3 separate regions of the Mus musculus genome follow, and regions 1 and 3 are each reported to be linked to region 2. The links are microRNA targets in miRTarBase. Many come from high-throughput screens and were not tested one by one. Region 2 holds a microRNA gene; each other region holds the end of a gene's coding sequence.

What was found. Region 2 holds the annotated microRNA mmu-miR-23b-3p (AUCACAUUGCCAGGGAUUACC, at 3,081-3,101, shown strand). A microRNA usually pairs through its seed, bases 2 to 8, with sites in the 3' UTR of a target mRNA and lowers its output. Matches are read on the target gene's strand: a 7mer-m8 pairs with bases 2 to 8, a 7mer-A1 pairs with bases 2 to 7 and ends in A, and an 8mer does both.
Region 1: miRTarBase lists Celf1 as a target of mmu-miR-23b-3p. The part of its 3' UTR that is shown has no 7-base or 8-base seed match.
Region 3: miRTarBase lists Nox4 as a target of mmu-miR-23b-3p. Seed matches in the 3' UTR shown: 7mer-A1 at 1,872-1,878.

What each region holds. Positions count from the first base shown.
Region 1 is chr2:91,013,215-91,016,214 of GRCm38, forward strand. Celf1 (CUGBP, Elav-like family member 1) reads left to right here. Exons shown (of 14, transcript NM_198683.2): 13 at 24-188. The coding sequence ends at 151. Among named protein-coding and RNA genes, the nearest start is that of Gm13777, 17 kb to the right of the region's middle.
Region 2 is chr13:63,297,449-63,302,109 of GRCm38, forward strand. Mir23b (microRNA 23b) reads left to right here and starts at 3,036; the gene lies at 3,036-3,109. It overlaps Aopep (aminopeptidase O), which reads left to right. Exons shown (of 16, transcript NM_001289926.1): 16 at 1,264-4,661. The coding sequence ends at 1,404. It overlaps Mir27b (microRNA 27b), which reads left to right and starts at 3,264; the gene lies at 3,264-3,336. It overlaps Mir3074-1 (microRNA 3074-1), which reads right to left and starts at 3,835; the gene lies at 3,751-3,835. It also overlaps Mir24-1 and a transcript of Fancc not described here.
Region 3 is chr7:87,396,557-87,399,556 of GRCm38, forward strand. Nox4 (NADPH oxidase 4) reads left to right here. Exons shown (of 18, transcript NM_015760.5): 18 at 215-2,154. The coding sequence ends at 335. Among named protein-coding and RNA genes, the nearest start is that of Tyr, 95 kb to the right of the region's middle.

The sequences.
Region 1 (3,000 bases), not on the chromosome of region 2:
TAGGTTTCTGCTTGAACACACAGGTTTTGTAAGTTATGACAATCCTGTCTCAGCTCAAGCTGCCATCCAGTCCATGAACGGCTTTCAAATTGGAATGAAGAGGCTTAAAGTGCAGCTCAAACGTTCGAAGAATGATAGTAAGCCCTACTGAGTGCTCCCCTCTGAGACTGGAGTGAGAAGATCTTCTGGTAAGTGGGGGAGGAGCACCCTTAATCATTCGAAGCCCTAAGGCTGTGTGTTAACAGCCCTGGACCCTGATCCCTGCCACTCTCGCAGGCACAGCTTGCCCTGAAGACTCAGCTACTGCCTTCTGTGGGAGTGTCGCTTCGTACAGAGGACAAGTTTGTGCTTTGGTTTCCAGTGTTTTACTTTGGAGTTTAGGTGCCATATCCTGAGGGGTTTTGTTTTGTTTTGTTTTGTTTTGTTTCTTTTTCCCTTTATTTAAAGTTTGCTGTGTTTGTAACCAGTTTGTTGAGAAGGACCAACACCAGTCCACCTTGAGGAAGAGGGAAATGGGTTTAAAAGATAATTAGAACATGCCCCAAACCATGGAAAGAGAGGGCTGAGCAGAACAGAAAGTTGATCCCCGAAGTCTCTCTCCCTGTGTGGAAAGAGTGAGAACTAAGTCTAATGAGGTACGGGGTGGGTGAGTGGGTGAGGTGTCTTAGCTTCTAGACCCCTTAGAACTGGCTGCTTTCTGTGGAAATGCTGAATTTATGCCACCTATTTTTCTAATTTTTGTCCTGGATTTCTGCCCTTCTTTCCTAAAAGGGGGTAAGCAAGTCTCATGAAATAATGCACTTTTCAGTTAGCCTGAAATATGCAAATAGGAGGGAGATACCCATGACTAGGCAGCCCAGCCCGACATTCGTGTTATATTGATTGCCCTGCCTGGTTGGTGGCTGTTTAGGGGAAGCAGCCAGAGAGGTCATTTTCATTAATTTTAACATGAAGTTAGAATGTACCCATTTCCAGTAGTCTCTTTTGTAGAAAGTATATGGAAGTTCATAACACCAAGGAATGTTGCCTCCTTCTCTGGCCACAGTTTTCTCATGAGGGGACATAAGACACTCTTAACAGCATCTCTAGCCAACAAGGGTGCAGTTCATGGGCAGAGCAGTCAAGAAGCCATCTGATTAAGGGAAGAGAGACCTGCTTCTTGGTGTGCCTGAATCAAGGTCACTTCAAGCCACTTTGCTATATTTGAGCAGAGCCTAGTATTCAAGAAGGTTCAGAAGTGCATTTCTGATTCCTTAATGAAGGTACTCCAAAAGCTGTGTTCCCATAAGGTCTGGCAGGCCTCTCCTCTAGCCCCATTTTCTGTCCTTGAAGACAGAAGAAAGTATAGGACGTTTACAGGCTCCATATGGATTTAGTGTTCATTTACCTCAGTATTAACCCATGTTCATTTTGTCATCATGCTTACAGTAAGCTCCCTGCTGCCTTTCATGGGTCTTAACTCCAGCCTTTGCCAGTGTCCCACATAGCCTCTGGGCTCTCCTGCTCTAAGAGAAGCTGTGGGAATGTGCATCTGAGCAGAGGTAGCCCTATAAATATATGATTAGTAGTCACAGCCAGGGCCTGGGTTCCTGGGTCATTGGAAGCTTAAACCTCATAAGTTACAAGTCTTGACTCCTAGCAGCAGAGATTAGAAGGGGCTAACCTGCTTTAAGTCAGATAGGGACTCTCCTTGTCATGCTGTCCCTGTGGATAACAAACAGGGATTGACCATCTTGCTGTTGTACAGGAAGTTGTTAGTGGTGTGTTATCCCATTGATGCTGGGACAGCTGTTCTCTTATAGTGATAAGTTGAGTCTGTTGTCCTCTTAAACATGAAACATACACTTCTTAAGCTGAACCACGTAAACTTGAATTCTGTGCACTGGGAGAAAAGTGTCCTGTGTTTCAAGATAAAACTGTTCTAAAGGCTTCCAGGGTATTGATGGAATTTTTTAAAATAATGCAAAAAAAATAAAAAATAAAAAACTTTAAAAGGAAAAAAAAGAAAAAAATGCTAGGTTGGGCAGGCACTGCTCAGAATCCCAACCGGCCGGAACCAAGAATGTTGTTTCTATTTTTATAGAAGTTTTATACAGCTCCGGGGTGGAGAATATTTATTACCTAAATTATATCTCTGGAAAAGGCCAGGATTTTGTAGAATCCAGAATGTGATTGTTGTACACACAGGGTGCTGTGTATGATTGAAACTACTGACTTTCTGTGACCGTTTGCAGCCCAGGTAACCTGTCCAAGGGGAAGGCTAACATTAATGCTGTGAATTGGCAGAGGCGAGAGCTGTGCTCCACAGGGAGCTGCCAGTGCTGTGCTCCCTAACCTTCTGTTCTGCCTTCCTCCTCGGCCAGAACATCACGTTCTCCCTGCTCCTCTGGTTCCCTCTAGCTCTCCCATTTCATTGTCCACAGATTTGTCCTGTGCTCCAGGACCAAATGAAACTTTCCTAATGATATTAGAAGCAAAGGAGTGACCCCACCTTTGGAACAGACCCCAAACTTCATACCTACTTGTGATTTCTAAAAGGAGCACTTGCCCCAGCAGAGCCATGGTCAGCCATGGCTGGCTCAGTTAGCCAGCTAGCCAGCTGGGGAGACCATGTACTTCCATTATCCCGTTTGCCCAGTGCATTAGCACAGCACTAGCACTGTCCTCGAGCACAGTTCCCTCCCCAGGCCAAAGATGGTTTTGTTGAAGAAGCTGCTCCCCTATAAGTCTTGATGTGAAAGGGCTCAGCTTAGAGTGGAGACTGAAGTGACGTCTTAAGCAGTCCATTTCTGTTGTGTGGAGGTTTCACTTACAGTGTTTTCTGCTGTAGTTTTGTTTCGTGGATTATATCATGCCATTGATTTGCCTTCAGTGCAGCCCAACCACTATCTCCTGGGTTCCACAAGAGTGCCCAGGGCGTATGTGGAACCTTAGGGCTTGGATTTCTGGGAACAAGGGTGGGCCATCCTAGGATTGAGCAAGAAACTCTGGCCCTCTATC
Region 2 (4,661 bases):
TATGTGTGTGTAACCTCATGTGCCACCTCTCTGGTTTGTGACACATTTTGGGGTCATCCTTCAGGGTACCTCCTCTGATGTTTTGTACCTCATGACATGTTTCCACATGACCTCCCCCATACTCTGTCCCACTCCCAACCCCAACTGGCGCCTCTGGCTAGCCTGTGTGCATACTGTGGGCTGATGGGCTAGAGCCACTTTGAATGGGATGGAAAGTGGGGGTGTGGTGGACAAAAGGACTTTTGACAGAGTCAAAGTGAGGGCTGGTTTTTCCCATAAAGCAAAGGATGTGACTTTTTTACAGCAGAAATGTCACATTTGCACAGTGGAGTAAGAATTGTTTGAGAAAGCAGACAGGAACAGAGCTAAGAGCAGCTCACTGGCATAGCCATGCTGTCTGCTGTACAGGGACCTCCACGCCTCAGCCCCTGCAGGAAAGCTCTTTGGAAGCCGACACTGAGTTTTTATCCTATGCTGCCTTTGAAACACTTGAATTTGAAGCAGAATGTAACCCTTGAGAAACTCCATAGAACAAGAAAGCGGGCAGAACTTGCAGAATGTAATTGGCTGCTTTTTTAATGTTGGCTCAGTGAGAATTCAAGCCTTTGTAGCATTGTTTTCAAAGCAGAAGAGCCAAGAGTCTGACATTTGGTGGCTGGGTTAGGCCAAAGTGACAGCATCTGCCCTGCCTGCACTGCTGGCCATGTGGTCTCTGTGGCCTGTTAGGTGATGGACTTTGTAAGCAAGCTCATGCCAGCTACCCTTTAGGATGCACTGGCCTGACAGACAAGGTTTTCCATGGTGACCATTTTGAGAGCTCTCTGCCTCTGCCCAGTGTATTCCTGACAATAGCCATCTTGGGATAGCTTGCTACTCGGGCACCGGAGTCGGTTGACAGAATCAATAGAATTCTGTATTTCTGTTGTTTTTTGAGACAAGGTGTCATTGTGTGACTCTGTGTGGCTTAGAACTTGCTATGTAGACCAGGCTGGCCTTGAATTCACAAAGATCGTCCTATTCTTCCTCCCAGTGCTGAGATTAAAGGCCTGTGCTACCATGTTCAGCTTCCATAGAGTGTTGATAAGGACAATGGAGACAGAGTAGAAGGTGCAAGCTTCAGTTGGTCACCTGCACGGCAGCAGGCTCTCTCTCTGTCCTTTGTGCTTTTAGACCAGCTTGTGTAAAGCAATACAAACAAGTCCCCATAAACATGTGCAGCCTCTTACCCCTTTCCCATTCTTCTCTGGCCTTCACGGTCTGCAGGCCATGGGCATATACCTGTATGGGGAGCTGATGGTGAGTGAGGACGCCAGGCTGCAGCAGCTAGCCCACAGGTGCTTTGAGCTGGTGAAGGAACACATGGACAGAGCATCGGCCCAGGTGGTGACTGAAATGCTGTTCTAAAGAGGTAATTCTCTTTTCTTTCTTCTAACCATCCATGTCAATTGGTAAGCCACATGATGAGCCACAGCACCAGAGGGCTGCCAAACGGTCTTGGGGAGGAAGCAGCAAGGTGGGTCCTCAGGAACAGGAAGAAGGCTCAGGATCTCTGGAGCACCTCACCTGCTGGAAGCATGGGTGTGAAGCAGGTACAGCTGAAGGAGCAACAGATCTGGCACTGCTTTAGCCACCCTGGATTTTGCACAGGTCCACAGGCTCCAGGGTCAAGGTCAACACAGCGGTCCATGGCCTCATTGCTCCAGGCTTCAGCATGCAGGCATCTCTCCTAGAGGCTGTGTAAACCTGAGACTCCTTGGCCTCTGGTTCTCTGACCTGTAGAGTAGGCAGCAGGTCTTCTCTGCCCCTCCATCCAAGTGACACTTGCGTCCTAAAGGCAAGTCTGTTTCCATCTCGTGCTGGAACAGGATTTACGCTGGCTCCCAGAGTCCTTGGCTGTGGTGTAACTTGCCTCCTCTGTAGCCAGCTTGTGGACCAGTAATGCAGTTCAGCCACAGGGCGTGGAGTTCTGAGACAGGTGTGGGCTAGTGCGTCTCTTTCATAGTCGCCAGTCATCATCTCTACATCATCCCAGGACATTATCGCTTGCCATGGTGGTACATATGATGTTTACTTTTGTATATGTTTGAAATTTTACATCAATCACTGTGTTACTCTGTTGTTCTCTATGATTACCAATTAATGAATATTTAGAATTGTGTTGCTAATCTTAACCCATTGTCAGACATTAAATTTACATTTTCACATTTCACTTTTATAAAACCCACTTCTGTGTAATGTTTATTTTTCTGAAGAACTACACTGATGAAGGGAAAACATGTTACTATGTATGACCATGTTGTTGCAGAAGAGCTGGGGACCGCCACAGTCAAGCAGGGGAGATAGTGGGCTGGAGTAAGCAGGTACAGCCTGCTAAGCCTGCACACTACAAGCTAGGACGGTGGCCTGTGTGGATAGACAGAGTCGGTCGGGGCGCCTCTTCACTGCCTCCTGCAGACATTTCTCTAGAAACTTGTAAGCTGAGGGATTGTTGGTATGTGGTGTGTGAAGGTCACACAGTAAAGCCACTGTTCCCTTTTTAGGTCCCTAGGCCTTCACTTAGGAAAGCCATAGTCACATAGTGGTCCTAGTGACTCTTCTAAGAGTATTTTTGCCCCCTGAGTGAGCAAATCCTCAACTTGCTAGGTCCCCTATGAGCTCTGTGCTATGCCTCAGCTTATCCAACCAAATGCTTGGTCACAGGCAAGCCAGAGAGATGCTCCCTCCCTACACACCACACCTGCTGTCTGAGGGGCCCAGAGACATCCCAACCCATTCAGTCTGCAATTGGAGAACAGGGTGTGTCCCAGGGTTAAAGGCCACATACTCAGAGCAAGGATGGTCCCTAAGGTATTGGTCTCATAGCTGATAAGTGTGTCCTTTGTCTCCCAGTCCCCTATGCTCCTCTATACAGTGCAGCCAGCGCGCTGAAGGACAGCAGGCTGCACTGCTAGCGTGGTGGGCTCAGAGGCGGTTTGGAGGACACTCAGCACATGTGGATGGGAGTGGTTGGGCATGGTGCTGCCCTCACCTGCTCTGGCTGCTTGGGTTCCTGGCATGCTGATTTGTGACTTGAGATTAAAATCACATTGCCAGGGATTACCACGCAACCATGACCTTGGCTGCTCCTGCAGAACCGTGGCTACTTTCTCTCTGCAGTTTGGAGAACAGAGGCGCCTTGTGGCTCTTTGGAAACAAAAGAAGCCAACAGCCTTCGAAGATGCTCACCAGCCCTTTAATTATGGCCGGCGATGACCTCTCTAACAAGGTGCAGAGCTTAGCTGATTGGTGAACAGTGATTGGTTTCCGCTTTGTTCACAGTGGCTAAGTTCTGCACCTGAAGAGAAGGTGAGATGGGGACAGTTAACTTGCAGCTGCCAGGCAGAGGCCACTGCCTGGTGGTCACTCCAGAGGAGGAGAGACCAGCCTGCCTCAAGGCTGTGTTGTCAAGAGTGCAAACAGCGTGCTGACCACCCTTAAGTGTGTCTACAGAAAATACAGTTCTACTGCTAATTAGTTCACTGTAATGTCAAGTGTATTGGGAGTCACAGAAAACTAAACCCAGGTGCATCAAGGAAACTGAGCCAACCTTGTCTCAGCTGATGCCACACGTGATGGGTGGGGGTGTGGTTCTTTGTCCCTGCTGGGCGTGGTGAACTCTTTCTTGTATTTGCAGTCCAGGTCTCCATGTCTCCACAGTCGCTGGCAAGATGATGCCCAGGGCACGCCAGGAGGCACTGCCCAGCTGTGATTGGACCCGCCCTCCGGTGCCTACTGAGCTGATATCAGTTCTCATTTCACACACTGGCTCAGTTCAGCAGGAACAGGAGTCGAGCCCTTGAGCAAAAAGCCTACCCATCTGTAAGTGCCTGAGGCAGGCCTCCCACGGAGAAGAAGATGAAGGGCCTGAGTGTCTGGTACCAGACCCAACAGCAGTGGTATCCCTCTGTATGTGCTCCCGAGGTGGGGATTTGTAGAGTGCAGAGCTAACCTTGGAAAGTTTGCATTCCCTAGAAGCAGGTAGGGCAGGCGCTGAGCATTTGCCACGTGTTGGGGCAGAGCACACCATGTCACCGCTGCCTTGAGCAGTGAGAATGCCTGTCTGAAGGGCCTTGTCTGTAGAGCCTTTCTGAACCTCTCTGGGCTTCACAGCCCTGCATGGCCTGTGCCGTGACTGTGCACCCCAGACCCAGGATTGTGAGGTGTGGCTTCAGTGTTGCCCCTGTCCTCCCATGAAAAGTTCCCTCTCAAGTGGAGGTCAGAGGCTGGGAGGACTCCTGTTGGAATGGCTGTGGTGACTGGGTAATAAATTTTATTGCTGTTTCCTCCACAGGACAGATCACAGTGAGATTCTCATATACCTTCTCCTAGCCCTGGTGGGGCCAGGACTGCACTGACCCTGGACATCAAAGGGAGGATTATGTGGCTGCTAAGGCCATCAGCCCACAGCAGTGGTTGGTCCATCTTGGGCTTCCAGAGACTGGGCTCCCGTGGCATATATAAAAGGCGGAGCCTCATAAACTGTTGCACCTGGCAGCTGCCTTTGTTCCCAGTCCTAGAGAGACTGAGTCTACACACTGGAATTGAGCTGTGACTTTAAGGCAGTCATTCAATGAAGGACACCCTCCCCTAGGCAGATGGAGAGCCGGTTGCCTGCTTCCTGT
Region 3 (3,000 bases), not on the chromosome of region 2:
AACACACTGCATAATTTCTAGCAGCCAATTTATGCCCATAGTTACATTTTTTCCTGAATCCAACTATGAATATCATAATTGGAAAATGGTTTTAAGATGAAAAGGAACAAGAAATTAACTTTGCAAATACTTTAAACCCGTGCTCATACAGTAGGCTTCTTGTCCTGTTCTGCCAAATTTTGTACCTGATTTCCTACTTCTCTTCTCTTTCCAGGAAAACAGTTGGAGTTTTCTGCTGTGGACCCAGTTCTATTTCCAAGACTCTTCATAGTTTGAGTAACCGGAACAACTCATATGGGACAAAATTTGAATACAATAAAGAATCCTTCAGCTGAAACCTTAGGAGACTACTGGGGACTTTAAAGAGGAACAAGTGCAATTTCTAAGACTTAGAAACTCAGCTGAATCAAACAGCTGTGCTATGCCAAAGAATACCAAGGGTTTGCTATTTATGATTATTTAAAATGAGAATTCAGAAAATGTGGCAAAATGGCATGGTTAATCTGCGAGCCAAAGGGGCCCTGAAGAATATCTGATGTGGTGATTCACATTTTGATGAGCAAATTAAAAGAATGCCGTTAGACGCACGCTGTTGATTTTTATGGGAAATTCAAGAAGTCTCTTACAAGGAGCTGAACTCACTTACACTGAAGCTGATAGCTGCAGCCCTCTTTAAATTGTTTTCGGTTGAACACATTCAAGATTGAACAAAATTAAAAATTCATTGAAACTCAGACTCCATTTTCTAGGTTGTGCATAAGTGGAGTAGCTTTCATTTGGATAGGCTCCAGGCAAACACTGGGAGGTTGAAACTGTAGCACAAAACTTTGTATCGATACGGGTACTTCATATCTGCTGCTTCACTACTGACTCTCCTGCCTCGCTGCAGTGTTCCTAATCTATATGCTCACAAAGCTTATACCCATGTGGATGTAGTATCTACTTATGTTTGCATCTTATCCTCCGTCTAGGAAAATCTGCTCCCCCTTAGCCAATCTTGGACACAATTATTTAATAGAACTGTTTGATCACCGATTTGTTCAATTTAGTCCCATGGCTTAGTAATGAAAATGTGCTTTAAGCTTATCCTTAAAAACCAAAGAGCTTTGTATCTTGCACCAAACACAGAAGCACAAGACCTCTCTCCTTTGACTCACTTTGATTTCAGATAAGAGATGCTGAATTCATGGAGTGATACCCTGCTTTGCTTTCTACAAAAGTAGAACTTCTTCAGTATTTATTCAAATTTCAGTTTAGAATCACTAATATTATTTTTGCACTGTTTGATATCACGGTGAGTTACTAGATTTAAGTCCCCTGTTCATGTGATCCAATCAGTTTATCACCTATTTTTTAATATTCAGGAATCAGAAGGAAAATTTACTACCTTAAGAAAGAAGATATTCATACAGTTTATCAACTTAATTTGGTATATAATTATTAATGCTATCAAATAGGACACATTGCTGAAATTAGTACCTTAACTTATGCTTGGTAATCTTTTGTATATCACATGATTACAATAAATCCTGTTATTATTTGGATTTCATGTGATTCAGTACTAACAGACAAGCATACTAAAACATTTAGCATCAAATAACCACCTGTATATTTAGTTACACATATATTTTTTTTATCCTTGGAACACTTTCCTATCCCTCCTATGGGCAATGTGCAATGCTCATGTAGACTGAACTGTGGAGACATAAACTATGACATCATAGCAATGCTGTCTAGATTACAAAGAGTTTTCACAAAACACATACTACAAAAATAAAAATAAAAATAAACCTCATAAAAAAAAACTTGGGCTTGTCCAGGCTTGATGTGCAATACTGATTCCTTACCAATCATAACTTATTTTTATGCCTATGTGAATTCATCACATTTCAAAAATTCAGGTCAAACTTACAAAACAAGATGATATTTCAGACTTGTGTGCTATGTTGAGTGAACTTCCTTGCCTAATCTAAACTCCAGTGCATGTTCAAGGATCTATATGTTAAACATGGTATATTTTTGAACAGGAATAAATTAAAGCTTTATCACACATATAGAAGACAGCTTCATTTCTTTTTAGATTCTATGGTGGTGGTTACTGTTGTATAAATCTTAAATCACGAATTTTGATGGTAATAAATATTAAAATTAAAATGGTGTCTGTGGAATTTCTATAAGTTTACAGATAAATTAGTAATTCCAAGGAGAGGTGGTTGTTGGTTTGTGAAAAAAGAAAAATAATTGAAGGAGTACTGCCTAACTACACACTGGCATAATAATCTTGAGAATGTGCATTCTACAGCTGTTAATGTCATAGTCCAGTCATGTGAATGCGGCAAATTACTTCTCACACTGGCCATTAGATTTTGCCTTTGAGCCTGGTGAGGAATATAAAATAGTACTTACTTTCTCAATTGTTTTGAAACAAAGCCTCATATTGAATGAGTCATTCTCAAATTTGCTATGTAGCCAAAGATAGCCTTGCACTTTGTTTCCTTCTGTCTCTTGTTTCCCAAGTTTTAGAATTATAAATACACACATACCCAAATATTAATTATCTTATGTAATATATCTTTTTGAGAAAATAATGGAATTGTATGACATATAGCATACTGGATGTAATTTTGGGACACAAGAATTCTCAAATAGCAAGATCATATATTTAAGGGACTATAGAGGTCATAATTTCTACTATAGGTTTCTCTCCATGTATATTCCTTTTTCTTTAAGAAATTATTAGTTTTTAGGATGATACTATAAAATTCATTTTGTAGATAAAATCTAATTTATATGCCTCTAAGCAAAGAATTCAGTAAAACTTTAAACAAGTTTTTAAGTTGCTTCTCATTTAGGTAAAGGGAAGAGACTGTGGTTTTACATATATCTAAGACCAAAAACTCAGAATCTATATCTATATCTATATCTCTATATATATGCACATATATATGTGTGTGTATGTATATATATGTATATATGTGTGTGATATACATATATCATATG